3 linked regions of the Coturnix japonica genome follow. The main gene of each other region encodes a partner of the protein of the gene in region 2 in a complex. Links are inferred from orthologs where the notes say so. Each region holds a gene or a part of one and is shown on either strand. Other genes may lie near its edges.

Evidence for each region.
Region 1: the proteins of TIMM22 (region 2) and TIMM10 are in contact, whole or in part, in a cryo-EM structure (PDB 7CGP), measured with the Homo sapiens proteins. The link is inferred for Coturnix japonica from reciprocal best matches to the Homo sapiens genes TIMM22 and TIMM10. Residues at the interface, in NP_037469.2 of Homo sapiens: Tyr25, Ser26, Leu28, Leu29, Gln30, Tyr31, Leu32, Val33, Arg40, Leu42, Leu47, Gly48, Glu67, Glu144, Ser145, Tyr146, Gly148, Ser150; in NP_036588.1 of Homo sapiens: Pro3, Ala6, Gln7, Leu9, Ala10, Ala11, Leu13, Glu14, Val15, Met17, Met18, Ala19, Tyr22, Ser44, Lys45, Gly46, Glu47, Arg53, His62, Glu63, Gly66, Leu69, Thr70, Ser73, Met74.
Region 3: the proteins of TIMM22 (region 2) and TIMM9 are in contact, whole or in part, in a cryo-EM structure (PDB 7CGP), measured with the Homo sapiens proteins. The link is inferred for Coturnix japonica from reciprocal best matches to the Homo sapiens genes TIMM22 and TIMM9. Residues at the interface, in NP_037469.2 of Homo sapiens: Asp35, Arg37, Gln38, Pro39, Arg40, Leu42, Gly45, Ser46, Leu47, Gly49, Ile50, Ser52, Pro53, Lys60; in NP_001291414.1 of Homo sapiens: Gln13, Glu16, Phe17, Thr20, Leu57, Thr60, Gln61, Met65, Phe67, His71, Gln74, Asn75, Leu78, Lys81.

The regions. Positions count from the first base shown.
Region 1 is NC_029520.1:7,775,124-7,777,806, forward strand, and holds TIMM10 (mitochondrial import inner membrane translocase subunit Tim10), read right to left. Parts: upstream 1,242-2,683; 5' UTR 1,174-1,241; coding exon 1,103-1,173; intron 931-1,102; coding exon 729-930; 3' UTR 642-728; downstream 1-641. Other genes in the region: SMTNL1 (smoothelin-like protein 1), read left to right, coding at 2,201-2,683.
Region 2 is NC_029534.1:5,110,336-5,114,597, forward strand, and holds the start of TIMM22 (mitochondrial import inner membrane translocase subunit Tim22), read right to left. Parts: upstream 2,862-4,262; 5' UTR 2,847-2,861; coding exon 2,492-2,846; intron 1,772-2,491; coding exon 1,575-1,771; intron 612-1,574; coding exon 539-611; intron 1-538. UniProt on the Homo sapiens protein: Essential core component of the TIM22 complex, a complex that mediates the import and insertion of multi-pass transmembrane proteins into the mitochondrial inner membrane. In the TIM22 complex, it constitutes the voltage-activated and signal-gated channel.
Region 3 is NC_029520.1:50,193,340-50,197,516, reverse strand, and holds the start of TIMM9 (mitochondrial import inner membrane translocase subunit Tim9), read right to left. Parts: upstream 2,886-4,177; 5' UTR 2,788-2,885; intron 2,757-2,787; exon of another isoform or gene 2,734-2,756; intron 2,704-2,733; exon of another isoform or gene 2,652-2,703; intron 2,022-2,651; exon of another isoform or gene 1,562-2,021; intron 206-1,561; 5' UTR 176-205; coding exon 137-175; intron 1-136. Other genes in the region: KIAA0586 (protein TALPID3), read left to right, coding at 2,978-3,125, 3,941-4,020. UniProt on the Homo sapiens protein: Mitochondrial intermembrane chaperone that participates in the import and insertion of multi-pass transmembrane proteins into the mitochondrial inner membrane.

The sequences.
Region 1 (2,683 bases), on a different chromosome or scaffold from region 2:
CTGCAGCACCTTGCACACCCACTGCTTGCACGACAGGCTCACGGTGGGGCGTAATGCGACCCACAAGCTGTGAGGACAGTGAGTGTGCGCGCAGCCTGACCCACTTCCAGCCAGCCCCGGGGACACACCGGCACAGGCGCACTGTGTGTGTACGGGTGGATGGACACACAGTGCCCACCCCCAGGCTGGGGTGTCTCTGGCTGGGTGTTCCCATCTAGTAACCCTGTGCAGGTCTTCCCTACACATGTGTGCACATCTGTATGTGTGGCTCTGGGGTTGTTTCCATCCAGGTGTCCCCCCCTAAGTGTCCCCACGTGGGTGTCCCTGTGTGGTCCTTTTCCAGGTGTGGAAAGGGCACTGTCCCTCTCCAGCCATCCATACCAAATGTCTCTGTGCCTGTCCCCATGCAGGTGTGCTGTTTTCTCACTGCCCCCCTGCAGGTGTCCCTTTGTGGCCATTTCTCCAGGTGCTCCCCAGTGTCCCCCCAGCAAGCAGAGTGAGGGGCACAGCCCTGTCCTGACCCCATAAGGGATAAGGAAGGTTTCAGCCTATCCCCGAGGCTGACGTGGGCACAGCAGACACGCCGGGGTGCCCCCATCTCCAGTAGGTTAGTGGGACACCCCCTGACACAGCACCACAGACGGGTTTGGGGGGCCGAGGGAAGCACACAGCTGGCCCAGAGCCTCCAGTTTATTGGTACGATGGGAAGGGGAGTCCGAAGGGAGGGCTCAGGCGGTGCCCGTGCCCTGCTGCATGCGCTTCAGGAGCTCCTCGTCCTGCAGCGACAGCTCCGTCAGCTTCTTGCCCATCCGCTCGTGCACATCCAGGTACTTGGCCACGCAGCGGTCCAGGCACACGCTCTCGCCTTTCGACAGCTCCGCCTCCTTGTAGTGTGGGGGCACGCACTTGAGGTGACACGCCTGCGTCATCCTGAGGGACAACACCGTCACCCCACGGCTCTGCCCGGCACCCCCCACCCCCGGCACCCGCACAGCCCCCGCACAGCCCCCACCCGCGACACCCACGCGCCTCTCGCTCTCCCAGCCCCTCCCTGTCCCGGGCACTACCCCCAGGCCCCGGCCCGTCCCGTCAGGCCGCGCACCGGTTGTACATGTCGGCCATCATGTCCACCTCCAGCTCTGCCGCCAGCTGCTGTGCCCGCAGCGGGTCCATGTCGCTCCCGCACCGCGCTCCCGCAGGATGCACGTGGGACGCGCTTCCGCCCACACGCTCAGGCGCTCCGCCCCGCCGCCGCTCTCGGTCAATAGGAGACGGGTGGGGGCGGGACAACGGCTCGTTCTCAGCGCTGATGGGACGTGGGGAGCGGTGCGGAGCGGGGTGGGCGGGGGCAGGCGATGGAGGGCAGGGATGGATCGGGGCCGGCCCGGCCCACGCGTGACCTCCGCGTGTCCCCGTGGGTCTGCCCTCACGGCTCTGCCCCCTCGTGTCTGTGTCTGCTACGGGTCTATGGCCCCGTGTCCCTCTATGTCAATGTGTCCCCTATGTCCCCCCACAGATCAGGGCACTCTGTGTTCCCTTTGTCACCCTTCTCTCCCATATATGTGTCCCCCGTGTCCCCTCGTGTCCCACGCATCACCCATCTCCTCCATGTGCCGTGTCTCCGTGCCCACTCGTGACCCTCATATCCCCCCGATATCGCCTCCACGTCCCCCCATGTCCTCACGTGCACGCGTCCCCCCGTGTCCGTGTCCCTGTGTCCCCGTTCCATCCCGCAGTCCCCGCTATCCCCAGGCCCCGCCCGGCCTCCTCTCCCCCCCGTCCCGTCCCGTCCCCTCCCCGCTGTGCCCCTCTCCGGCCCCCGACCCGCCCCGTCGGCGCTGACTGAAGGCGGCACCTGCGGCGGTCACACGGCCGCGGGGAGAGCGGAGAGCGGTGAGCCGGGATATGGGGCGCCGGGGGGCTGGGGGGGACGTCGGGGGTTTGGGGTGAGAAACGAGGATAGGACGGGATGGAGGGGGGTCGGGGTTGGGGGTAGGGAGTGAGTTGTGGAGTTGGGACTGAGCTGGAGGAGCTGGGAGGGGGCAGGAGGAAAACATGAATGGGGAATGGGTTGGGTTGGGGTGTGCAGGGGGGAGGGAGGGGTTTGGGGACAGGAGTGGGGGGTGGGGGTTGGGTCGAGGTGGATGGGAAGGGATAAATAATGGGGATGGGATGGGGACTGGGAGCTGTGTTGGGGCCGATGGGGTGGGCGGGCAGGAGGAACGCTGAGGGACAGAAGTGCAATGGGATTGCATGGGGTGGAAGGCACGGTGGATACTTCAGTGACAACCCTGCAGCCCACAGTAGGAGCATGGAGTCCACAACAACCGATGGAGCCCCAACCCCAAATGACACTGCCCTGGGTGACCTCACACAGACATCAACAGGGCCCACAGAGGGGATGGTGGGGGGGGACAGCGGGGAAAGTGCAGCACAGGAAGGGCAGGGGGAGGCTGGGGGGGATGAAGGGGGCGCTGGGGGGGAGAGTGCAGGGGATACGAGGATTGGGGGCGAGGTAGAAGCAGAGAAGAACTGTGGGAGTGAGGCTAAGGGGGAGGCAGTAGGGGATGCTGTGAGTGAGGTCAGCATGGCAGGAGATGCTGGGAGTGAGGCTAAGGGGGAGGATGCAAGGGATGCTGTGGGTGAAGCTAAAGGGGAGGCTGCAAAGGATGCTGAGAGTGAG
Region 2 (4,262 bases):
GCTTCCCAAGAAGTCCCCTCTAGGTCCTGCTGGACTAAAATCTCAGTGCTCCTGCTCTTGTACAGCTACATAGAATTGCCTCTTTGAGACAGGAGAAAGGAGGGAGGCATTGTACAAGCTGATCAAGTTAACAGAGTTCCTGCCAGTGAAACAATATATCTAAGTAGAGCTCTATTAACACAAGAGCTGTAACTTCAGCGAGTTGCTCAGAACATATTTTTGGCTCCCTCTCCATGACACCCCAGTAGCATGTGGAGAGCTACCAGCACCATTTCCTCATTTGCTTTCAAGTCACTTCTGTTCATTTCTCTCCGCTCTCCCTGTCCTGTACAACCAGCCTTCCCTACCCACACATATCTTTCAAGATGACAGGAAAGAGACAGAGATGACAGTTCTGCCAACTTCAAGCACATTCTCATGCTGACATCAACATAACCCCATACAGAGAGATTTGCAGCGTGCGTTGCCTTAAAAATGCTGCTTGTTACCATCCCAAATTGCTGCCTTATCACAGCAGTTGCTACCAGGCATCACCAACCTCTGAAGCCAATCGCTCCTCCTGTGATGCAGCCACTAATAACGCTGTTCCTCCAGTCTGACTTTCCACGATACTGTGGAGTTAAAAAACAAGAGACAACAAGTAAACATGGAATAACAATTCGACATCTGTACTAACACCAAGGGAGGTGAAGCCTTCCAGCCCTGTTTCAGATGAGGATGCTTTTCCTTCTGCTCTCAGCAGATGGCCCCCCTGCACTGTAAAAGTTTTTATGTGGCCAGGAGGAGGGGAAGGAGCAGGTCAGCAGGAGAGGTAAGACACATCCGCATGGTGCAATGCAGTGCTACAGCACACTCTCAGATGAGCCCATACAGCCCCCACAAGGCAGCACAGTGCACCGGCACCAGCTCACAGACAATTTAAAGGCACTGTGAGCACAGCATGGCCATGCAGCCATGAGAGCAAACAGCAGCCTGCGGGCAAACATTAGCTATTAGCTAGTTTTTCACCAGTGCAACGTGTTTGTTCTGCTTCGTTGTGCACACAGATACACTTTTCTTTTACACGGATTAAGAACTAATTGTGTTTTTCGATTGAAGGACAGTACTGACATTCATAACAGGCTCATCTTCCTATTTAAGAAAACGGGTGATAGCTTTACCACTGAGCAGCACGAGGTCGTTTCCTGCTGTAGGGGCAAGATGAAAACAGCCCTATTACTTCAGATCTTTCATCAAAGGATCCCTTTCTTCACATGTACTTTTTAGAGGCTCAGATGGCCACGTTGCAACTCCCAGTTTGATGTTTTAACACAACTATGAGTTGTTTGGAGCTAAAGTTTCAAAAATCAATGCCAAAATCCAGGACTTGAACTGGAAAGCTCTTCACTGTTGCATGCAGCTCTGCTTATTCCAACACAGAACAGTTCTGAAAACCTTTAGAACTGAAAAGCTTAAATGATCAAGAAGCAAAAGGCAACGAGCCAATCCCTCACCACAGTGGTTTGGACTCATGAAAGGCGCTCAATGGTGTATAATAAAAGCTCCCATAGTAACGTTTGAGGGTCGTTACTCACCGATTCCACCACGCACTCGGTGCAGGAGAACATGGCGCCCACAATGGCGAAGTTCTTGGCGTAGGAAATGCCGCGCTGCCCCATGTCCTTCAGCACCTCCTTGGCTGTCGGGGTGCGATACGGGTCCTTGGGGTCGAAGCCCACATTGGTGTCGATGCCAGCAGTGAAGATCCCAAAGGCTCCTCCAAGAACAAACCCTGGGGAAGACAACAGCTATGAAATGAAGCTCTGGATTGGAGCAGTGATCCAACACTCACAGGGTTAGAGCTGCTCTGGTCTTAAGGGCAGCATGAAGGGCTGATGTGCTGCAGACACTGATCTGATCACAGAATCACAGAATTGTAGGGGTTGGAAGGGACCTCTAGAGATCATCAAGTCCAACCCCCCTGCCAAAGCAGGCTCCCTACACCACATCACACAGGTAGGCATCCAGGTGGGTCTTAAATATCTCCAGAGAAGGAGACTCCACCACCTCCCTGTGCAGCCTGTTCCAGTGCTCCGTCACCCTCGCTGTAAAGAAGTTCTTATTAAGGAACTTCCTATGCTGTACTTTCATCCCATTAGCCCTAGTCCTGTCCCCACGCACTACTGAAAAGAGACCAGCCTCACCACTATGGCCCCCACACCTCAGGTATTTATAAACCTGGATCCAATCCCCTCTCAACCTTCTTTTCTCAAGGCTAAACAGACCCAGTTCCCTGAGTCTCTCCTCATAGGGGAGATGCTCCAGGCCCTTCACCATCTTAGTGCCCCCTTTAGTGCAGGCACACAGCACAGAGAGTTCTATCTTAAACTGGAGGGGAAGGTGGGAGCCCCTTCCCCGTGTCCATGGGCTGGAATTGCCCTTAAGATCTGACAGACCCTCATCCCCCCCCTCAGCCCCAACCCAACACCGTGTGTCCCCCACCCCCCCTCACCCCCCACGCAGGCCAAGGCCGCTTTGAAGGCGCAGCTCTCCATGGCTCTCTCCACCATCTTCTGCTCGTCGCTCTTGTTCGGGCAGGGGATGCCCCCGAAGCTGTTGGGGTCCCACACTCGGGGTCGGCGTTGCTCGCCCACCAGGTGCTGCAGCACAGCGCTGTATTGCAGCGGAGGCTGCGAACCGCCCGGCGGTGCGGCCGCCATTATTGTCCTCCGCGTAACGAGGAACCGGCAGCGCGGCTTCCGTAGCGCGCGGGGGTTGATGGGTGTTGTAGTTTCACTAACAGAGACTCCCGCTGTGAGGCGCGCTGCCGAGACTCCATTTCCCAGCGTTCCCCGCGGCAGCGCCATGACACTGAACTACAGCTCTCGGCGTGCTTTGCGGAGAGACACGCGATTGGCCGCGCTGAGGGCTGGGAGCCCCGTTACCCGGCGTACAGCGCCCCCTGGTGGCCATTGGGGGCGGTGCAGTGAGGTGAGCGCTCCGGCTGCACGAGCATCCAACGGGGCGGCAGCGATAAGAGGCAGCGATAGGAGACTGCGATAAGAGGCAGCGATAGGAGGTGAGAGCGGCTACGGGGGGGATGGAGCGGGGATGGGACGGCCACGGGGATGGGGAGGGATGAGGAGCCGCAGTGCGGGGCCGATCTGCCTCCGGTGTGTCGTTAAGCTCGGAGGGGTCGTTAAGCTTTGAGGGGTCGCTCCGTTCCCGGAGTGACTTCTATCTTTAGGGATAACAGCTCAACCTCAACACGGGGCTGAGAGCTGCGGGTCCTGCCGTGGTCGTTCTGCACAGCCCCGGGCTGAGCCCTGCGGGTGGGTGTCCCCCTCGTAGCACTCAGGGCTCAGCTGAGCTGTGCGTGGTGCTGGGATCATCCTGCGGCCCATCCGAGCAGCACTGCGCTGCCCCGGGCACACGGAGAGGCAGCTTGACATCAAAGGTGCTTAGAGAGCAAAAAAAGTCTGTCTTTTTGTCATAAAATGCAAACCGAGCTCGCAGCGAGTCATATAGAAACCTCAGCCCTTCCGCGCTTACCCTGTTTGGTAGCAGGGTGGGAAACTCTTCTTCTGTGCCCCCCCTCAGCTGAACGAGGAGGAGCTGCCAAGGTTTAAAGCCTTCACCCACACGCTCTGTGCCTTGTGTTGCTGTTCTGTGCAGCAGGAGCAGCGCTCTGCTCAGCCCAGCACGATGCAGGTGGGTCTGCTTGGAAGGAATAGCCTGGTTGGCTTCAATGTTGGCTTGGTTTAACTTTAGAAGTTGCCCACAGGTTTTGAAGCCCTGAGGTGGTTTCAGCAGATGAGATGAGGTGGCTTCAGATCGTTGTGCTGAGAACTGAAAACGATATCAAAGATCTGTTGGTTGTTCTTAAGTGATGTGTTAAGTGTGACATCTTCCTGATGCCATTCATTGCTCTGAATGGGGACTGCTTAGAAACCCAAAGGATCCACAATCATTTATTTTCTATTTCTTTTCATTTTTAACATTTCTTGCCCTGTATCTTGTCTGTGCTGGATACGCAGGTTCAAATAACAACCTGGTTTGATGGTTCTTCAAATGAAGTGATGGTGTTATTTTCAATAACTTTCCTCTTTTCCTATTAAATTCCACTGCCCTCTGCTGGCTGGACCATCAGACCTGCCCAGAGCTCTTCCCCCACTATTCTTTTACTCTTTAAGGCTTTTTATATCTTAAGGTCAGAAGCTGTTGCAAAGCTTGCTGTTAATGTCTACTACAATGGGATCCTTATACAAAAGAGGAGGTTGGTG
Region 3 (4,177 bases), on a different chromosome or scaffold from region 2:
CTTGATAAAGAACTAATATCATCTCAGAGGACAATATAGAGAGCTTTTCCTTCTGCTCCATGCACTGTACATTTTACTCTATGTGACAAATTAATAGAAGATGTTCAAATGCACTGCTGACAAACACAGCACTCACCTGCTTGATCTGATCAGTTTCTGATATCTGTCCGGCCATATTCTGCTCCCTGAGATTCTGTCACCTGTTCTGAAGATATAAGTTGAGTTCTACACAAAAAGCTTATGCACAGACAACAACATTTTTGGAGAGAACCAAGCTGAACGTGTTCCTTAAGGTTACTTAAATGCAATGGTGCCAGCAAGCTTTCAAACCACCCATTCAAAGTTATCTGACCTGTATTCAGCTAGAAGAATATCCCAGATAGTTCAAGATGCTGAGTTCTTTCCAGATCTACCTGCTAACTGCTGTCCTTTAAACACTTCATAAGCATTTAGAACAGCTGAAATGACTATACAGGAGGGTGAAGAAAGGTATGGAATTTTTATAAAGGCTTTCAAGTGCATGAAGTAAAACTGGAGTGGAGGAGAAGCAAGCAGTAATATTATGTAGCCTTTTAATTCAGTGCCTTTAGCTGTCATTTAAAGAACAGGCAAAAAAAATATGAAACAGTGCCAACTTTGAATGAACCAGCATGGATCAGAAATGGATGAATGGACTCAATGCAGCTGCATTCTCACCAAACACTTAAACTAGAGTCAGTGTTCTGGTCATTGAATATAGCAAATGAAATGCAATAAATGGGAACAGAATGAGGGCAGCCTTAAAGAAAGAAAAACAGATCAATGAAAAGGGAAGAATGAGCAGCCAGGGATCCAAGAATTGAAGCAAGCATCCTTAAGGATGGCTTGCATTCCTCATAAACAAGTTAAGGCTTGAATGTACATCTCTAGGCAGCCTTCAATCGTAATGAAAGCACGCCTTCCTTTCCCATGCCTGATGTATTACCAAGGTCCATCACCCGTGGTAATGCCAGTTAATGTTACACCCTGAAGAGAAGATGATCCTTCAGTCTTATTCGCAGTAATGCGTGGAAGAGAAGTCAGTGCCAAGCTAGAATCTCTTTGTGAGGAAAGCTTGTTGTGAGCACAGCTACTAATTATTCTGAACAAGAACAAAAAAAGAGTTATTTCTACAAGGGAAAGCAAATGAAGCAACTAAAATAGCAAAGCAGAGCTCCTGCAAACATGCAGCCACCCTCCTCCTCCCAGCAGTGGAGCAATGGTAAATAGCTGCTTCTTGAAGTTATGCTTTGTTGCTACATAGGAAGAACAGAGCCATAGAATTCAGGGATTGAAGATAAGGAATGCATGTGGTTCTTGGGTTTAAGATATCCATCCCTGCGACCAGGAATGCCTCACAAGTCAATAGATCACAGAATCATAGAATTACTCAGGTTGGAAAAGACCTTGAAGATCTTTAAGTCCAACCGCAGCCTAACCAGAACCCTATCTCTAAAAACCCTACACTAAATCACTCTCTTTTAAAGAGAACCTATGAAATACAGAGAAGCAAAGCATTGCTGAAGCCATTGTAACCTCTCACTTGCATTAAGCGGACACAGTTGTCATCTGGGAGAACAACTGAAATGGATGGCAGTTCTACTCTCCCATTTCTGTCTGTTACAAGAGAAAGAAAACCAAGAGTGAGAACGCTGCCAATCCACTTTAAGTTGATGATTAAACAGGCAGCCCAAGCCCACAGACAGCAGAGGAAAGACTTTTGTCCTCTTCAGCTTCAGACCCTCCCAGTGCCTTTCTCACACTCAGCATTGCTTCACTGTGTCTGCATACAACAAACCTGAAATCTTCCACTTCTGTCACTTGCTTGCCAAGCTTAACATTACGTATAATTGAGCTGCTGCTTCACAAAGCTTGTACACTTGCACTTGGGAAGCAGCTCTGACTTAAAACAACCCGATGGCACCATCTCATTTTACACATTTGAAGCACCCTCTGCAAGCATTGTGTGCACCACAGGCTTATTATTACACAGAATTACAGAACTGTAGGGGTTGGAAGGGACCTCTAGAGATCATCGAGTCCAACCCCCCTGCCAAAGCAGGCTCCCTACACCATGTCACACAGGTCAGCGTCCAGGCGGGTCTTGAATATCTCCAGAGAAGGAGACTCCACCACCTCCCTGTGCAGCCTGTTCCAGTGCTCCGTCACCCTCACTGTAAAGAAGTTCTTATTAAGGAACTTCCTATGCTGTACTTTCATCCCATTACCCCTAGTCCTATCCCCACACACTACTGAAAAGAGACCAGACTCACCACTAAGGCTCCCACACCTCAGGTATTTATAAACCTGGATCAAGTCCCCTCTCAGCCTTCTTTTCTCAAGGTTAAACAGACCCAGTTCCCTAAGTCTCTCCTCATAGTGGAGATACTCCAGGCCCTTCACCATCTTAGTGGCCCTCCGCTGGAAATATGGCTTTTGGTGCATGGTCAAGGCCTGTTGATGACTACAAGGCCACACTCGTCTCGTCCTTCACTCTTCCAGCCTCATGTGCATAGCACCCATAGGGTTATAAGCCATTCCCTCGCTGCCCCCTGGCGGCGCAGTGGTAACGCGGCCTTATGGCCCGCACGGCCAGGCCTTCCCAAGGGACAGCAGGGCGCTTCCAGTCCTACCTGATGCCTCAGCCCATAACAGCACAGAGATGAAGCCCCTCACTCGTTCCCCACACCCCTCAGCTCTCCTGTTCAAGGGCACCTTGTGCTCCCTGCCCACACCGCGGCCCTTCCCCGCCGCCCTGAGCGCACTCACCGCCACCAGCCGGAAACACTCAGCTCTAAACCCGCCGATTCGAGTCCCTGGAAGGAAGTACGTCATCAGTGCGCGACCCAGGCTGAGCGGGCGCTGTTACCATGGCGGCTGTCGCAGCGGCCTACCCTCACACGGCCCTTAGGGTCTGCCTTTAAAGCACCGCCCATAGCTGCACCGCTATGAAGCCTGCATGGAAGCGGAGAGCAGCTCCAGCCGGGACTCTCTGGTCAGCCTGACTGCAGGCGATGTGCTCATTCGCTCCACCAGCGTCCACGGGGTGAGAGCAGCAGGAGGATTTTACAGCTGTAAAATTGTCGATGTCGCGACCCGCAGCGCAGGTATTTATTGGTTACGTGTTATTTGTGTCCAGGTGTGGAGCCCTCAGTATAATAAAGACATGGAGATTTTGTTAAAGGTCCAGAGGAGGGACAGGAAGATGATCAGGGAGCTGGAGCACCTCCCCTATGAGGACAGGCTGAGGGAGTTGGGTTTGTTCAGCCTGGAGAAGAGAAGGTTGCGGGGTGACCTCATTGCAGCCTTTCAATACCTGAAGGGAACTTACTCCCAGGAGGGGAGTAAACTCTTGGAAAGGGCTGACAATAGCAGGACACGGGGAAATGGTTTTAAGTTAAAAGAGGGAAGATTTAGGTTGGATGTCAGGAGGAAGTTCTTCACTAGGAGAGTGGTTAGGCCCTGGAACAGGCTGCCCAGTGAGGTTGTGGATGCCCCGTCCTTGGAGGTGTTCAAGACCAGGTTGGACGGGGCCCTGGGCAACCTGATCTAGTAAAGGTGTATGTTTGGTGGCCCTGCCAGGCAGGGGGGTTGGAACTACATGATCCTTGAGGTCCCTTCCAACCTGGGTTCTGTGATCTGCATGAAAACTGCCTCTGGTAGCATTATGTAAACCATTTCCATTTCATAAGGTTCAGGTAGATAACTGCGGTCATTTGTGTGATGAGAGTTATATTTAGATCTCTATCACAGAATCACAGAATGACCCGGGTTGGAAGGGACCTCAAGGATCATGTAGTTCCAACCCCCCTGCCTGGCAGGGCCACCAGGCAGAGAATAGACTGAGATTTGGGTTAATCAAGGGGTAACGACAACACGTTCAAGATCTCTTTAACCGCAGTAAAATTGCTTTTATTTTCAGGAGTCCAGTGTACTAAGGGTCACCCAGAACATTTGCTTGTAGTGGAAGATCCTGTGGAGGCCATTTTTGTACCACACATGGTAAGAAAGTCACTGTTGCTTCCCACAGCCTTGAGCAAAGAGATCAGCATCTGGAGAAGCACAGCAGATCCTGAGCTCTGATTCTGCACGATAAGTTCCCAGTTGTTGCTAATGTGATATTCATGCTGAAGCGTTTGGAGGGGGCTTATTAATGTAC